Coturnix japonica: one gene and its partners. The protein of the gene in region 1 purifies or fractionates together with the protein of each later gene. This does not show direct contact. Links are inferred from orthologs where the notes say so. Each region holds a gene or a part of one and is shown in the gene's direction. Other genes may lie near its edges. The genes, in order: CLCN4, TMEM9 and TMEM9B.

Region 1 (3,621 bases):
CACTTCACATGTTTATCGGTTCCAATAGGTTTGTTTCTTCATTCAGCTTCCAGCAAGAATCAGTTTACATTTGCTAAAGCAGAATATTGATTAAAACATCCAGTTGTAGATTAAGCTATTCATGGAAAGAACCTTCTTTCCATGCTGAATTGCAGGGAATGAAATGGGAAATGTGACTCAAGGTCAATAAAGGCAAAATGATGGGGGTAATGACCCTAAGATCCCACAGAATGATGGGCTTCTCTTTCTCATGGAGTACATATTAGAGTTACAGCAGATTGCTCATGGAAAATGTTGGATGCATGCCCTAAGCAAAATGAATGCCAGGAGTTGTTAGGAAAGAATAGGGGATGAAGCAGGAAACATTTGCTGCTGCACAAATTGTTTCATCAGCACCTGAAAACGTAGTTGAAAGGACAGCAATGACATCTGAGACATGGAACTACAAAGGGACAACACGCGCACCCAAGAGTCACTCAGCAGCAAAACAATATTCAACACTTTCCAGTGTGTACAGGATTGCTGAGTATCCAAATTTCTTAGATATTTGAGTCTTAGGAGTGGCTAAGAGTTGCATTTATTGCTAATTCTGTGTGCAGTGATATTGCAGTGTTTTCTTTTGAATTAATGAGGCGGGAATGGCTACTTCTGATGTCTCTGTGATCTGTGGCCAGAAACTGTTGCTTATAGGGAACAATTTATCATCTCATAATAATGCAAATGTCTCTAATATGTGAGATAAGTTGCCTTTGAATAGCATTTCTCTCTCATCAGCTACAAAAGGAGTTTAGATTCTAGTGTCCAGAGCTTAGTGCAGATTTGTGATGCTAGATGGGACAACACACACTGTATTTGTACTTTTGCTGTCCTAAGAGTGGATTGCTACTGTGCACCTGGCTACAGTCTGTGTTTGGATGACATTCATTTGCCCTTAACATTTGTGTATTAAATTAAAGTATCCATAACTAAATTGTTAGTGTAAGGTTGTAGTTTTGCTGGCAGGACTGGGAAGTTCTCTGCAAGAACCTTGAGAGGAGAAGTTAACCCACCAATAGAAGCTTTGGAGACTGTTTCAGAAAGGTGAGATAAAGAATTGCCAATAAAGAGAAAGACAGTGGTACTTAAATGGTGCTTAGTGCCAGCACATAAGAAACATGGAATCTCTATACAGCCCAATTAAAATTGTTGGAGCCAGAACTGGTTTTTGTCTAATCTGACATCACATCTCTGCATTCAAAAGCACAGCAGCTGGCATGGAGTTTCAGGATGATAATAATCCATCTAGCTGCAGTTCCTAGATACTGAAACTATCTAGAGTTTGAAGTTTGTTTTCTGAGTCTTCCTTGGCCCTGCAGTCTCTAGCACTTCCTTGTGTCCCGGGGCATGCCGTACAACACGTATGTCTGGGATAGATTCAGGCTAAGATTGTAATTACCCACATACTTGTGGTCTGGCCTGCTATTATCCATCACAAAACTGTCATGTGCCGGGCATTGACAGCATACTTAAGAAGCTATTTTTTATGGGATATAACTAGCATATTGGGTAACTTTCTTGTAGCATTAAGGAGAACTTGCCAACTCTTTCAACACAGTAGTTTCCAGACATTTTTTATAAATCAGCAGTATTGCCTAGGCTCAAGCAAGCCGTCTGGACTGCATGTTCCTTACAGGTACTACTTGTATGGGAAGAGTAGGTTGAAGGAAATGACCTGTGTGCTACAAAATCATAGCACTGTCTGATTTTTCTCTTCATTCCAGCTTTCTAAACCAGCTTCTCTGTCTCCAGAGGCAGCCTAGGTAGTTCTTATGGTCTAGATACCAAACTTTCGGATGGATGAAATTAAGTTGCTTGAATCCTGTATGCCTAAAATACTTACTTAAAAGACTCTCTTGCTACTAAAGGTTCCTTATGTTGGGAATGATGTCAGCCTTTTCTGTAACCTGTTGTATTAGTAACTGGAGATTACTTATTACCTGGGAGAAGAGGCCAATCCCCACCTTGCTATAACCTACTTTCAGGTCATTGTAGAGTGATAAGATCTCTGCTGAGCCTCCTCTTCTCCAGACTGAACAATCAATCCCAGTTCTCTCCTCTGCTTCTCCTAAGTCTTTGTGTCACAGGTCCTTCACAGCTTTGTTGCCCTCCTCTGGACATACTCCAGGGCGTCAATGTCTTTCCTGTAGTGAGGGGCCCAAAACCCAACACAGTACTCAAGGCGTAACCTTGACACTTGGTCTTGTTGTACCTCATGAAGTAGGTATAGTTTCTGAGGCTTCAGGACAACGGGCATGGATGGTTCTCTGCTTTCATTTCCATAGTCTGAAAACCCAGATGAATGATAAATGGTAAATTTTAGTGTATTATCATTTGTCTTCTGAGTTAGTAACTTTGTCTTCTCAGTAGCCTCACCACAGGTAGGGCACCTTCCAACATGTGATCAGCATTTAACTTTGCAGAAGAAGCCCAGAACCATCCTGGGTTTTGGGGAACTATTGGCCAAAAAAAAAAAAAAAAATAATAAAAGCTGTATTTCTACACTTGGGCACTCTGCTTTTTTTGTGTTGGCTTTTAAGAGCTTGCCAAGCTCTTGAAGTGGCCTTCAGCAGTGTACTTTTCCTAATGGTAATGCATAGACTTCAGTAAGTGCCCACTAGAACTGCTGAGCCATGTTTTCTAGAGTTTGTGGTTTGTGGAGGGGTTTTGGAAGACTTGATTCCAACATGTCTGGCAAAACTGCATGAATTTACTGAAAAACTTGTTTTCCCTTCTATATACAGACCCTAATATGGTTAATGCAGGAGAAATGAACGGTTCTGGCAACCTGATGGATTTTCTGGATGAGCCTTTTCCTGATGTCGGGACTTATGAAGATTTCCACACTATTGACTGGCTGCGGGAGAAATCACGTGACACTGACCGCCATAGGAAGGTAATGGCTATAGCAGAGCGCCTCTACAATGTGGTTGGGACTGGAGGAAGCAGAGAGTAGAAGAATTTTTTAGCCTACTTTTGAGTAGATTCATTTAGCCTGATGCACTAAAATTGTGTTAGCCTGGATCAAAAACACAACTCTATGTACATATCGTTTCAGATTACAAGCAAAAGTAAGGAATCCATATGGGAATTCATCAAGAGTTTGCTGGATGCCTGGTCAGGATGGGTTGTAATGCTTCTCATAGGACTACTGGCAGGTATGTGTGTGCTACATTACTTTTTCCTGGAACCACCTCACTCAAATTTTCTGCAGTACCATTTGTTTCTCTCTTTACTTTGTTCTGTATTTGCTGATTTTTCAATCTAAAAAAGCAGTTATGTATCTATGCAGTTATAATACTTAATAAAAGCAGTCCCGTTGAGTGCTGACTTAGAAAAAAAACTATTAATCTGTAGAGGGAGTTTCCTTGAAAATATGTTTTTAAGTACTTTACACTCAATTGACTGCTTTCGCCTTCTGAGTCTTCAGTTCACACAGCCAGTTTTATTGTAGATCTTTTTTTTTTTTCCCTTGTCTTCACTTAGCTGCACTCTCCAAGTAGATGTTGTCATGTCGCGAAGGAAAATGTTCGGCGTGTACAGTCAAGTGGGAGCTTTGTAAATCATTATGTCCACTTGGATATC
Region 2 (4,389 bases), on another chromosome or scaffold:
CTCATTAAAGCACAACAAGGCTGGAACTCAGAAGATAACTAAGCCCACTGTCTGAGCTACATGGGACAGACACTAAGGAAAAACCCAGCAAGGAAAGGAGCAGAAAATGATCTCCTGGATGTGCTGTGTGGTCCCCCCCCCATTGCTACAAAGAAAGCATCCTCCCCTACACCACAGAACACAAGTCAATGCACACACACGAAAACAACCTTCAGAAAGAGGGACTGGAAACTTCCAAGCTCATCAGGTATTTGGCAGACTTGTCTCTGAGGTACTCACCTGAAAGACTGAAACCTGCATCCAGCGTTGGAGCTGCTTGGGTCATTTATTTACTCACTCCAGGAGGACTGCTCAGCATCTTGTCACTAGGTGAAGCTGTGTCCTGTAAGCACACATCCAGCTTATTCCAGTCCCACAAGAAGCACTGGTATATATAGTTATACTGCAGAAAAAAAACAAAGAAGGATAGATTACTGTGACAATAAAAACGTCAGAGCAGATAAAAATACCTCCTTACCAGTTGTGCTGGGCAAGTTGGCAACATAAGAGCCCTGTGGTCATGATAAAAACTCAGCAATTTCACAACATTGGTAGCATCCCACAGCCAGGGCTGAGGTCGTGCTCAGAAGTAAGAGCAGCAAGTTGCAGCACAGCAGTGCTTCCGCTTGGCAGCACTGGAGTAGGAGGAAGGAATTAGAAGTCCCTTGTGCACCTGATTGCCAGGATGATTCATCTGGAACATTTCCTTGGGTCAATCCAGCTGGAGCAGGCCGTGACCCTCTAATGGACTCCAGCTGAGTGTGTGGGGAACACAGCGTGCTGGGCCAGCACCTTATGCATGGCAGAGCTGGGGGAGAAAACACTCTTACATCAGGAATTCCCACACCTGGGTGCACTGCAGAACTGACAACCTCCACAACTGTACAAACCTTCAAACAGTCTCAGCTTGCTCATAGCAGCAAATCTCCTCTCAGCTGCGTACCACATCACACCAGAGGGGCATCCCCTGATTTACACATGCTTCCAGTTGAATGTATCTCACCACAGCCTCCTGATTTCCATTTTCAAACAGCAAACCCCAGAGACCCACACAGCCCCAGAGGGACCCAGAGATCCACTCAGCCCAGGGGGCCCCATCTCCCCCAGCAGCAGGCCGCAAAGCCAGGCCCACTGAACGCTCCCTCTGAAGACAAGGCCGCAGCTGTGGGAAGCACAGCGTTGCCCTCAGCGCAGCCGTAGGCCTGAGGCTTCTAACACAGAACCAGAGAGTGCTAAATGTGACTTATAACGGTAAAGCAGCCCAACCCAATCCGTTACTGCAGTGCTGTGACAGCGCTTTACCCTCAATACAGAAAGCGGGCACGCAGACCCACAGCTACACGTCATATCTAAACACCGAACCCCACGACCCCCCACCTCACACTGAGGTGCAGCACAGGCGCGGCCCATCTTATTAGAGCACGGTAGGCCTCTCTGCTTTCCGATTGGCCGAGCGCTCTGCCCGTCACGCTGCAACCAATGGGCGCAGGGCTGGGGTGGGGCTTGCAGGGGCGCCGGCGTCAAGCGGCAGGTAAGGCCCAGAGCGGCGGCGGGGGGCGGCCTGGGCGGAGGGGGGGGGGGGCGGTGTTACACGGCTCCTTCAGCGGGACGCTGGGCCTCATAGATGGGCGGGCTGCAGCCTGGATGAACGGAGAGGAGGAATACCGGGAAGACGGCCTGGGGCTGTGCTGTAAGGAGCGGAGCGTTGGGGGTGGGGGGTGGATCGGATGTGATGCTCGTAATCTCTGTGTAAACCTGACGGGATGTCGGCCCGGCTGCTGTGGAGCGTTGGAATAAGGTGAAGAGGGGAGAGGTGTGGATTTAAGGGGGTGTAAATGGCTGTGAGAACCGGAGGAGCTGGGGCGAGGTGTGGGATCGAGGTGTGGTAACGGGGGTCTGTTGGAGCCTGAGTGTGTAAAGAGAGCTCAAGTCTGACAGAGCTTCAGTGTGCAAAGAGCTCGAGTCTGACAGAGCCCTGTTGTGCAGAGAGCTCACATCTGTCAGCCTCAGTGTGCAAAGAGATCACATCTGTCAGAGCACCAGTGTGTAGAGAGCTCATATTTGTCAGAGCTTCAGTGTGCAAAGAGCTCATGTCTGACAGCCTCAGTGTGCAAAGAGAGCTCACATCTGTCAGAGCCTGTGTGTGCTAAGAAAGCTCACATCTGACAGAGCCTTGGTGTGCAAAGAGCTCACATCTGCCAGCCTCAGTGTGCAAAGAGAGCTCACATCTGACAGAGCCTCAGTGTGCAAAGAGATCACATCTGTCAGAGCACCAGTGTGTAAAGACAGCTCATATTTGTCAGAGCTTCAGTGTGCAAAGAACTCAAGTCTGTCAGAGCTTTGCTGTGCAGAGAGCTCACATCTGTCAGCCTCAGTGTGCAAAGAGAGCTTGCATCTGTCAGAGCACTGGTGTGCAAAGAGATCACATCTGCCAGAGCCTCAGTTTGCAGAGAGCTCATGTCTGTCAGAGCTTCAGTGTGCAAAGAGCTCACATCTGACAGAGCCTGAGTGTGTAAAGAGCTCACATCTGTCAGAGCACAGGTGTGCAAAGAGAGCTCATGTCTGTCAGAGCTTCAATGTGCAAAGAGCTCATGTCTGACAGCCTTGGTGTGCAAAGAGCTCACATCTGTCAGCCTCCGTGTGCAAAGAGAGCTCACATCTGCCAGAGTCTTGGTGTGTAAAGAGAGCTCGTCTGTCAGAGCACTGGTGTGCTAAGAAAGCTCACATCTGCCAGCTTCAGTGTGCAAAGAGCTCACATCTGTCAGAGCACCAGTGTGTAGAGTTCATATTTGTCAGAGCTTCAGTGTGCAAAGAGCTCGCATCTGTCAGAGCCTTGGTGTGCAAAGAGCTCACATCTGTCAGCTTCAGTGTGCAAAGAGAGCTTGCATCTGTCAGAGCTTCAGTGTGCAAAGAGCTCACATCTGGCAGAGCTTCAGTGTGCAAAGAGAGCTCCCGTTGCTTTGGATTTGTGCAAAAACAGCTCTCTGCAGTGACTTCATCCACACTTCTGTAGCAAAATCAGCATCACAACACCTACTTCAGAGCACTGTGATGCTGAGTGTGGCACCAGGAGTGATGTGTGGCTTCAGGGCTCAGTGAACAGTGTTTAGTTGGGGTGAATGTCTCCATGCCCCAAGCTCTTTGGATGGGGACATTTTGGGGTCTGTGAGTTGGGTTTCCAAGAGTTTCAGGTTGGCACCTCGATACAGGGAGAAACTTCCATTTCTTGGGGGAAATAACGTTAAGTTATTTAATTAAGAAGGTTCCTTTATGGGAATTTCTGTTTCCTCAGGCTTCCACAATGTTTGTCCAATGCACCTGGAAGTGTGCAAGCTCCATGCTGCTGATTGCACTGCTGAGCTGCGTCCTTTCTCCTCCAGCACAGGCTGGCAAGGTGAGTGAACAACTTCAGACACACTGAGTGTGGTACAACGGGCACAGAAATGGCAGAGAAGCAACTGTTTTTCAACAGAAATATGAAAAAGGAAAAAGAGCTGCAGCAGGTCAGTGCACACATGTGTATCTGTAACATGAAGGGCTGTGAATGTATGTGATGGAGGCCTCAAGTCTGTGCTTTGCAATACATCTGAGGAGAACCTGATCTCTGGAGAGAAGAAATAAGAGAAATAAGAGATGTGATGTGAAGTCATCTCTCTCTTTGGGAATGTTCTGCTGCCACAGCCTTATGTGTGAGGGCAGCAGAGCTGTACCCGTGTGTTTTAACTCACTAATGCTGTCTCCTTGTGCTTCTGCAGAGCTCAGAGGACATCCGCTGCAAATGCATTTGTCCCCCATACCGGAACATCAGCGGGCACATTTACAACAAGAATGTATCACAGAAGGACTGGTGAGTTGCCTGTTGAAGCCTGAGGGGTTGATCTGTGGAAGTCAGCACTCTGGGAGTGGTTTGCTGCCTGTGAATGTGCAGAGCAAGCTGTTTCTATAGGGGTTGCTCAGCCCAGGTGAGGGGTGTTATGCCCTTCAGTCCCCTTCACCTGGACTTTATCCCTGCAAAAGGTGCCTCAGTCTGTTCCAGGCTTGCTGTGGTGGCAACTCCAGTCAGCATTATCAGCCCAATAGGAAAGCTGGGTTAAATCACCACAGCATCCTTCCACAGAGCACTGGTTTCTCTTTGTCCTGTCACTGATTTTGGTTTCTTTGCATTGCAGCAACTGCCTGCATGTTGTGGAGCCCATGCCAGTGCCTGGGAATGATGTGGAGGCGTATTGTCTGCTGTGTGAGTGCAAGTATGAGGAGCGCAGCACCACCACCATCAAGGTAACTGTGTGTCAGCTCCCTGTGGCACTGTGCCATCCCAGGCACAGCCTGACAGGGTAGGTTCCTGGAGCA
Region 3 (4,083 bases), on another chromosome or scaffold:
TTCAGCCCTGCTACACAGCCCTGAAACCCACCTCCACCATCTTAAGTAACAAGAGGCAGAACACAGCAGCCACACAATCACCACCATCTTATGTACCTCGGGGCACCATGCCGAGCAGCTTCTGCTAGCTTAACTAAATGCACAACACAGCAAGCCCTGCCATTTCTGCCACCTCAAGTAGAGGGCACCAACTCCTGCCAAGTCCACTACTTAAGTAGCAAGGGTCACCAATCCTTATGTAAAAAGAGGAACCAACCCCTGCTACTTCCGCCATCTTAAACAACTATAGGGACAACACAGCAAACCCTGCCACTTCTGCTCTTATGCAACATAGGAGCCAAACATCCTTGCTACCTCCGCCATTTTAGGTAGCAGGGCATGTGTACCCCTGTGACTTCTGCCATCTTAGAGGCAAAAAAACCCAGCAACCCAGCCATCTCCACCACCTTAAGTAACAAGTGGCATGATGCAGGAACCCCTGCTAGGACCAGCATAGGAGTATGGAGGAGAAAAGCATGGAAAGCTGAAATACAGCTACCAGAAGAGCTGTTCTGTTATCACACCCCATGACAGCCCTGACCTCCAGGTGCATGGTACTGTGCCAGACACGTCTCCCCATGGGACAGGCATGGGGCAGGCACGGGATGGATCCAGGCTGGCTCACTCGCCCTGGGACACCATGTTGTTGTTGCTGTTTTTTATTTAATAAAGCAAAACGAAACCCCAAGCATTGCCATGTGTCCAGCTGCATTACCGTGTGATGAGGATATTCTACATGTTGTTGTTGCTGTTCTTTATTTAATAAAGCAAAACGAAACCCCAAGCATTGCTGTGTGTCCAGCTGCATTACCGTGCGATGAGGATATTCTACAGTGCATATGAAAGCAGGGGGCGGCCGTGGGCAGACCTTGAGCAGACACAGACATTATATTTACACTCCCAAGCACTTGGAGAGGGTTTATTCATGGTTTCAAATGAGACCCAGCTTCTATTTCATACTTATTTTTGTTTGTTACTAACTCGTTAAACCGCGTATGCTTCTTAACGCCGGCTGTATTTCCTCTTAACAAAACCACGGTTAAAACAAACACCGTTTATTTAACGCGATATTAGTCCCTCTCCGCCCGGAACCTCGTGGCGCTGTCGCAGTTCCCCGCGGACCTCAATGAGGAGCGGACATCACCGGAAGAGAACGGGAGGAAGGTGGAAGTGATGGCGGCGGCACGGTAGTGTTGTTAATTAGGCGGTGTTGTGTTGTTAGGCGGTGCTTTAGCAGGAGAAGCCCCGGACCGACATGGCGGCCGGCCTCGGGGGCTGGCTGTGCCTCTGCGGGCTGCTGGCTGTTCTGGCGGGGCTGGGCGCACAGGCTAAGGTGAGTAGTGCTGTTTGTGTATTTATCCCGGTAATTGCTTTGAGCTCTTGAGATGAAGGTGGTTTGTTGTCAGTTCTTGGGGTCTGACATACTGTGTGTGTGCGCTCCGTGTCCCGGCTCAGCGTGTTGTTTGCTTTGCAGAATTCCGAGGACGTCCGATGTAAATGCATTTGCCCTCCTTACAAAGACCACTCGGGCCACATCTACAATAAGAACGTCTCGCAGAAGGACTGGTGAGTTTATCGTGGGGAGTTACAAACAGCGTGACTGTCTGTCAGCGTTCTGTGGCGATGACAAAAACATCTCTGCTACATCTCATTGCGCCTTCGCTTCTAAAAGCATTTCAGAATTGAAGAGATGAGGGTTTTCACCCTTAATGTTTCTCCATCTTCTATTTTGGATTGCTTTGTTTGCCTGTTTTTAGTTCCTGTTGCATAAGGCTTGGAGGTAGTAGAAGGAAAGGGGTGTTGTAATTTGAATTCAGTGACCACAAGTGGTATCATGGTGAAGTAGTGTATCTGTTAATCTAGGATAGGGATTGTTTTCTCCTACTTCTCTGCTCTCAAAACCAGTCCTGTTGTTCAGAGATTGTTTTGGAGGTTTGTTCCTCAAAAATCACAGTCAGAGAATGCAGTATAGTTAGCAGCACATTCTCTCTCCTGTGTATAGAGAAACCTGTGTCTCAGCCACGTACTGTGTTGTTTTGCTTGGACCTACCCATGGCATCTGTCAGATTTAAACTGAGCTGAGGACCAGTGTATGTGGGCAGGGATGAGCAGCTGGGGAAGAAAGGAAGATAGCACTGATTTAAAGCAGCATGCTTTGGAGTTGCTGTGATATCCAAAGTGCTCAGGAATTTGTGGATCAACCTATAAAAATGTGAAATATGTTTTGATATGTCGACTCTTTTCCTTATATACCAAGAATTATTAGTAGGCTTTTTGGTCTGTTGAATAGCAGCTGGCTAGCAGCTTGATTGTGAATAATCCATACCCCTTAGTAATCCCACCAAAACAATTAGAGGAATGAAGTTAGTGATACAGATGTGTATTAAGAGCTGTGCCTTGACTTACTGACTTACTTACAGAAGAGCTGTGAGAAACAACACCATAAATTTCAATCTGTGTTAATGAACATAAAATGTAGTGTCTAATCTAAATTACTGTTTTGTCCCATGTGGTTAGCTTAATGTGATTAGGCCTGCTGTGACAAATTAGTCATAGTCAATGCAGTAGTAAGACATACTGAGAGAACTGCAGCTGCAGCTGGCATTTCAGAGTGACTCTGTTAATGGCTTAGTTGCCTATTACTCCTCTGCCTATTAAGTGTGGTTTTTTCAGTGGACATTGCTTAGCATGTGCCCTACTGCCAGAAAAGGCCTTGTTTCACTTTAAATCGTATTGGTAGTGATTTAAGGAAAAATTAACTTTGTAGTCTTGGCTCGTTTCATGGTGACAGGTAAATGGTGCTTACAGGATCTCAGAAACCTATTTTCTGGTCCTAAATCTTATTTTGTTGGGGTTGTTTCTTGTGAGACCACTTGGGAATGTTTTGGTCTTCTTGTTTGAGTTGCCTTCTTGCTACTTTAAAAAGGCTTCACTGCTTGGTCATGTGCAACAAAGTAGACCATTTTAGTGTCACACTTGGGCTTCTGCATCTGTGCCAGTGACCTGTTATTGTATAGAACAGGGTGATGTGCTCTGCCCTTCGGGCATTTACATCTGTCGCTCTGAGGCAAGAGTCAGATCAGTGAGTTACGTTCAGTATGATCACTTACTGCCTCCTTATCTGGACTCCAAATCTTTAATATTGAGCTTAATCTTTAATATTGAACTTGTAGCCTGCATTATGATACTCTTATTTAGGTACTTCTGTTCTTTTGTTGGAGAGGTCCTTCTTTTTCATCCTCACAGACTGCTAAACAATGCCTTTTGATAACATCAGTGTGAGCTGACAGTGCTCCAACACCAATAAATGTGTTTTCCATTTGAGAGTTTGGAGCTACTGCTGACACTTCAGTCCTGACAAACAACACACTAGGCAAGCATTGTGCTGTGTAAGACTAAGCACCTACATGACATTCAGTTAAATAACCCACTTTGAGAGAAATGCATTTATATTTCATGTCTAGAGGCTGATTGCTTTAATAGTCAAGGACATAGTGGGAGGGAAGGTGCCCTGTCTGCTTTGGTGGATAAACTGAAAGCTGACCTGAAACTGTGCTTTTGGCTTGCCTTGATTTGCTAGGAAGAATAGCTTCATTGGTGCTGTTATTGTTGAGTGGGAACACCCTTTAGGAAAGGGTCAACCTTTTCCATGTATTCCTCTTAAACTGCCATGGAATCACAGTCCAAGGAAACATATAATCCAAACTGAGAGCTTTTACCCTCCATAGCAATGTGAAACTGAACTAGAGAAAAAAAAACCTTGCTGATATTATTTGATATATTCACAGTAACAGATATTCTGCTGTACCCAAGCAGCGTACTGGCTTTCTTCTCTACTTGAGCAGCATATTGACGTAACCTTTACAGAAATTTCTTCGTTCATAACTTGTATGTATTTCTGATTTTGCATTTTAAATGCAGCACTATTTTGCAGAGGAGTTTGTACTTCTCATGTCAAATAAATGGAAAAAAATGATCCCTCCATGCCTCTTTAGAGATTGAGATGCAGCACTCAGCAGTTCTAGTTATAAAAAAGTGATACCA

Evidence for each region.
Region 2: the proteins of CLCN4 (region 1) and TMEM9 purify together in Homo sapiens (co-immunoprecipitation; 3 studies listed by BioGRID and IntAct, with this or other methods). This does not show direct contact. The link is inferred for Coturnix japonica from reciprocal best matches to the Homo sapiens genes CLCN4 and TMEM9.
Region 3: the proteins of CLCN4 (region 1) and TMEM9B purify together in Homo sapiens (co-immunoprecipitation; 3 studies listed by BioGRID and IntAct, with this or other methods). This does not show direct contact. The link is inferred for Coturnix japonica from reciprocal best matches to the Homo sapiens genes CLCN4 and TMEM9B.

Annotation. Positions count from the first base shown.
Region 1 is NC_029516.1:112,469,275-112,472,895, reverse strand, and holds part of CLCN4 (H(+)/Cl(-) exchange transporter 4), read left to right. Parts: intron 1-1,002; exon of another isoform or gene 1,003-1,080; intron 1,081-2,780; coding exon 2,781-2,932; intron 2,933-3,094; coding exon 3,095-3,194; intron 3,195-3,621. UniProt on the Homo sapiens protein: Strongly outwardly rectifying, electrogenic H(+)/Cl(-)exchanger which mediates the exchange of chloride ions against protons.
Region 2 is NC_029541.1:1,279,971-1,284,359, forward strand, and holds the start of TMEM9 (transmembrane protein 9), read left to right. Parts: upstream 1-1,494; 5' UTR 1,495-1,570; intron 1,571-1,599; exon of another isoform or gene 1,600-1,837; intron 1,838-3,331; 5' UTR 3,332-3,340; coding exon 3,341-3,433; intron 3,434-3,794; coding exon 3,795-3,886; intron 3,887-4,208; coding exon 4,209-4,317; intron 4,318-4,389. UniProt on the Homo sapiens protein: Transmembrane protein that binds to and facilitates the assembly of lysosomal proton-transporting V-type ATPase (v-ATPase), resulting in enhanced lysosomal acidification and trafficking.
Region 3 is NC_029520.1:13,761,875-13,765,957, forward strand, and holds the start of TMEM9B (transmembrane protein 9B), read left to right. Parts: upstream 1-1,169; 5' UTR 1,170-1,294; coding exon 1,295-1,372; intron 1,373-1,513; coding exon 1,514-1,605; intron 1,606-4,083. UniProt on the Homo sapiens protein: Enhances production of pro-inflammatory cytokines induced by TNF, IL1B, and TLR ligands. Has a role in TNF activation of both the NF-kappaB and MAPK pathways.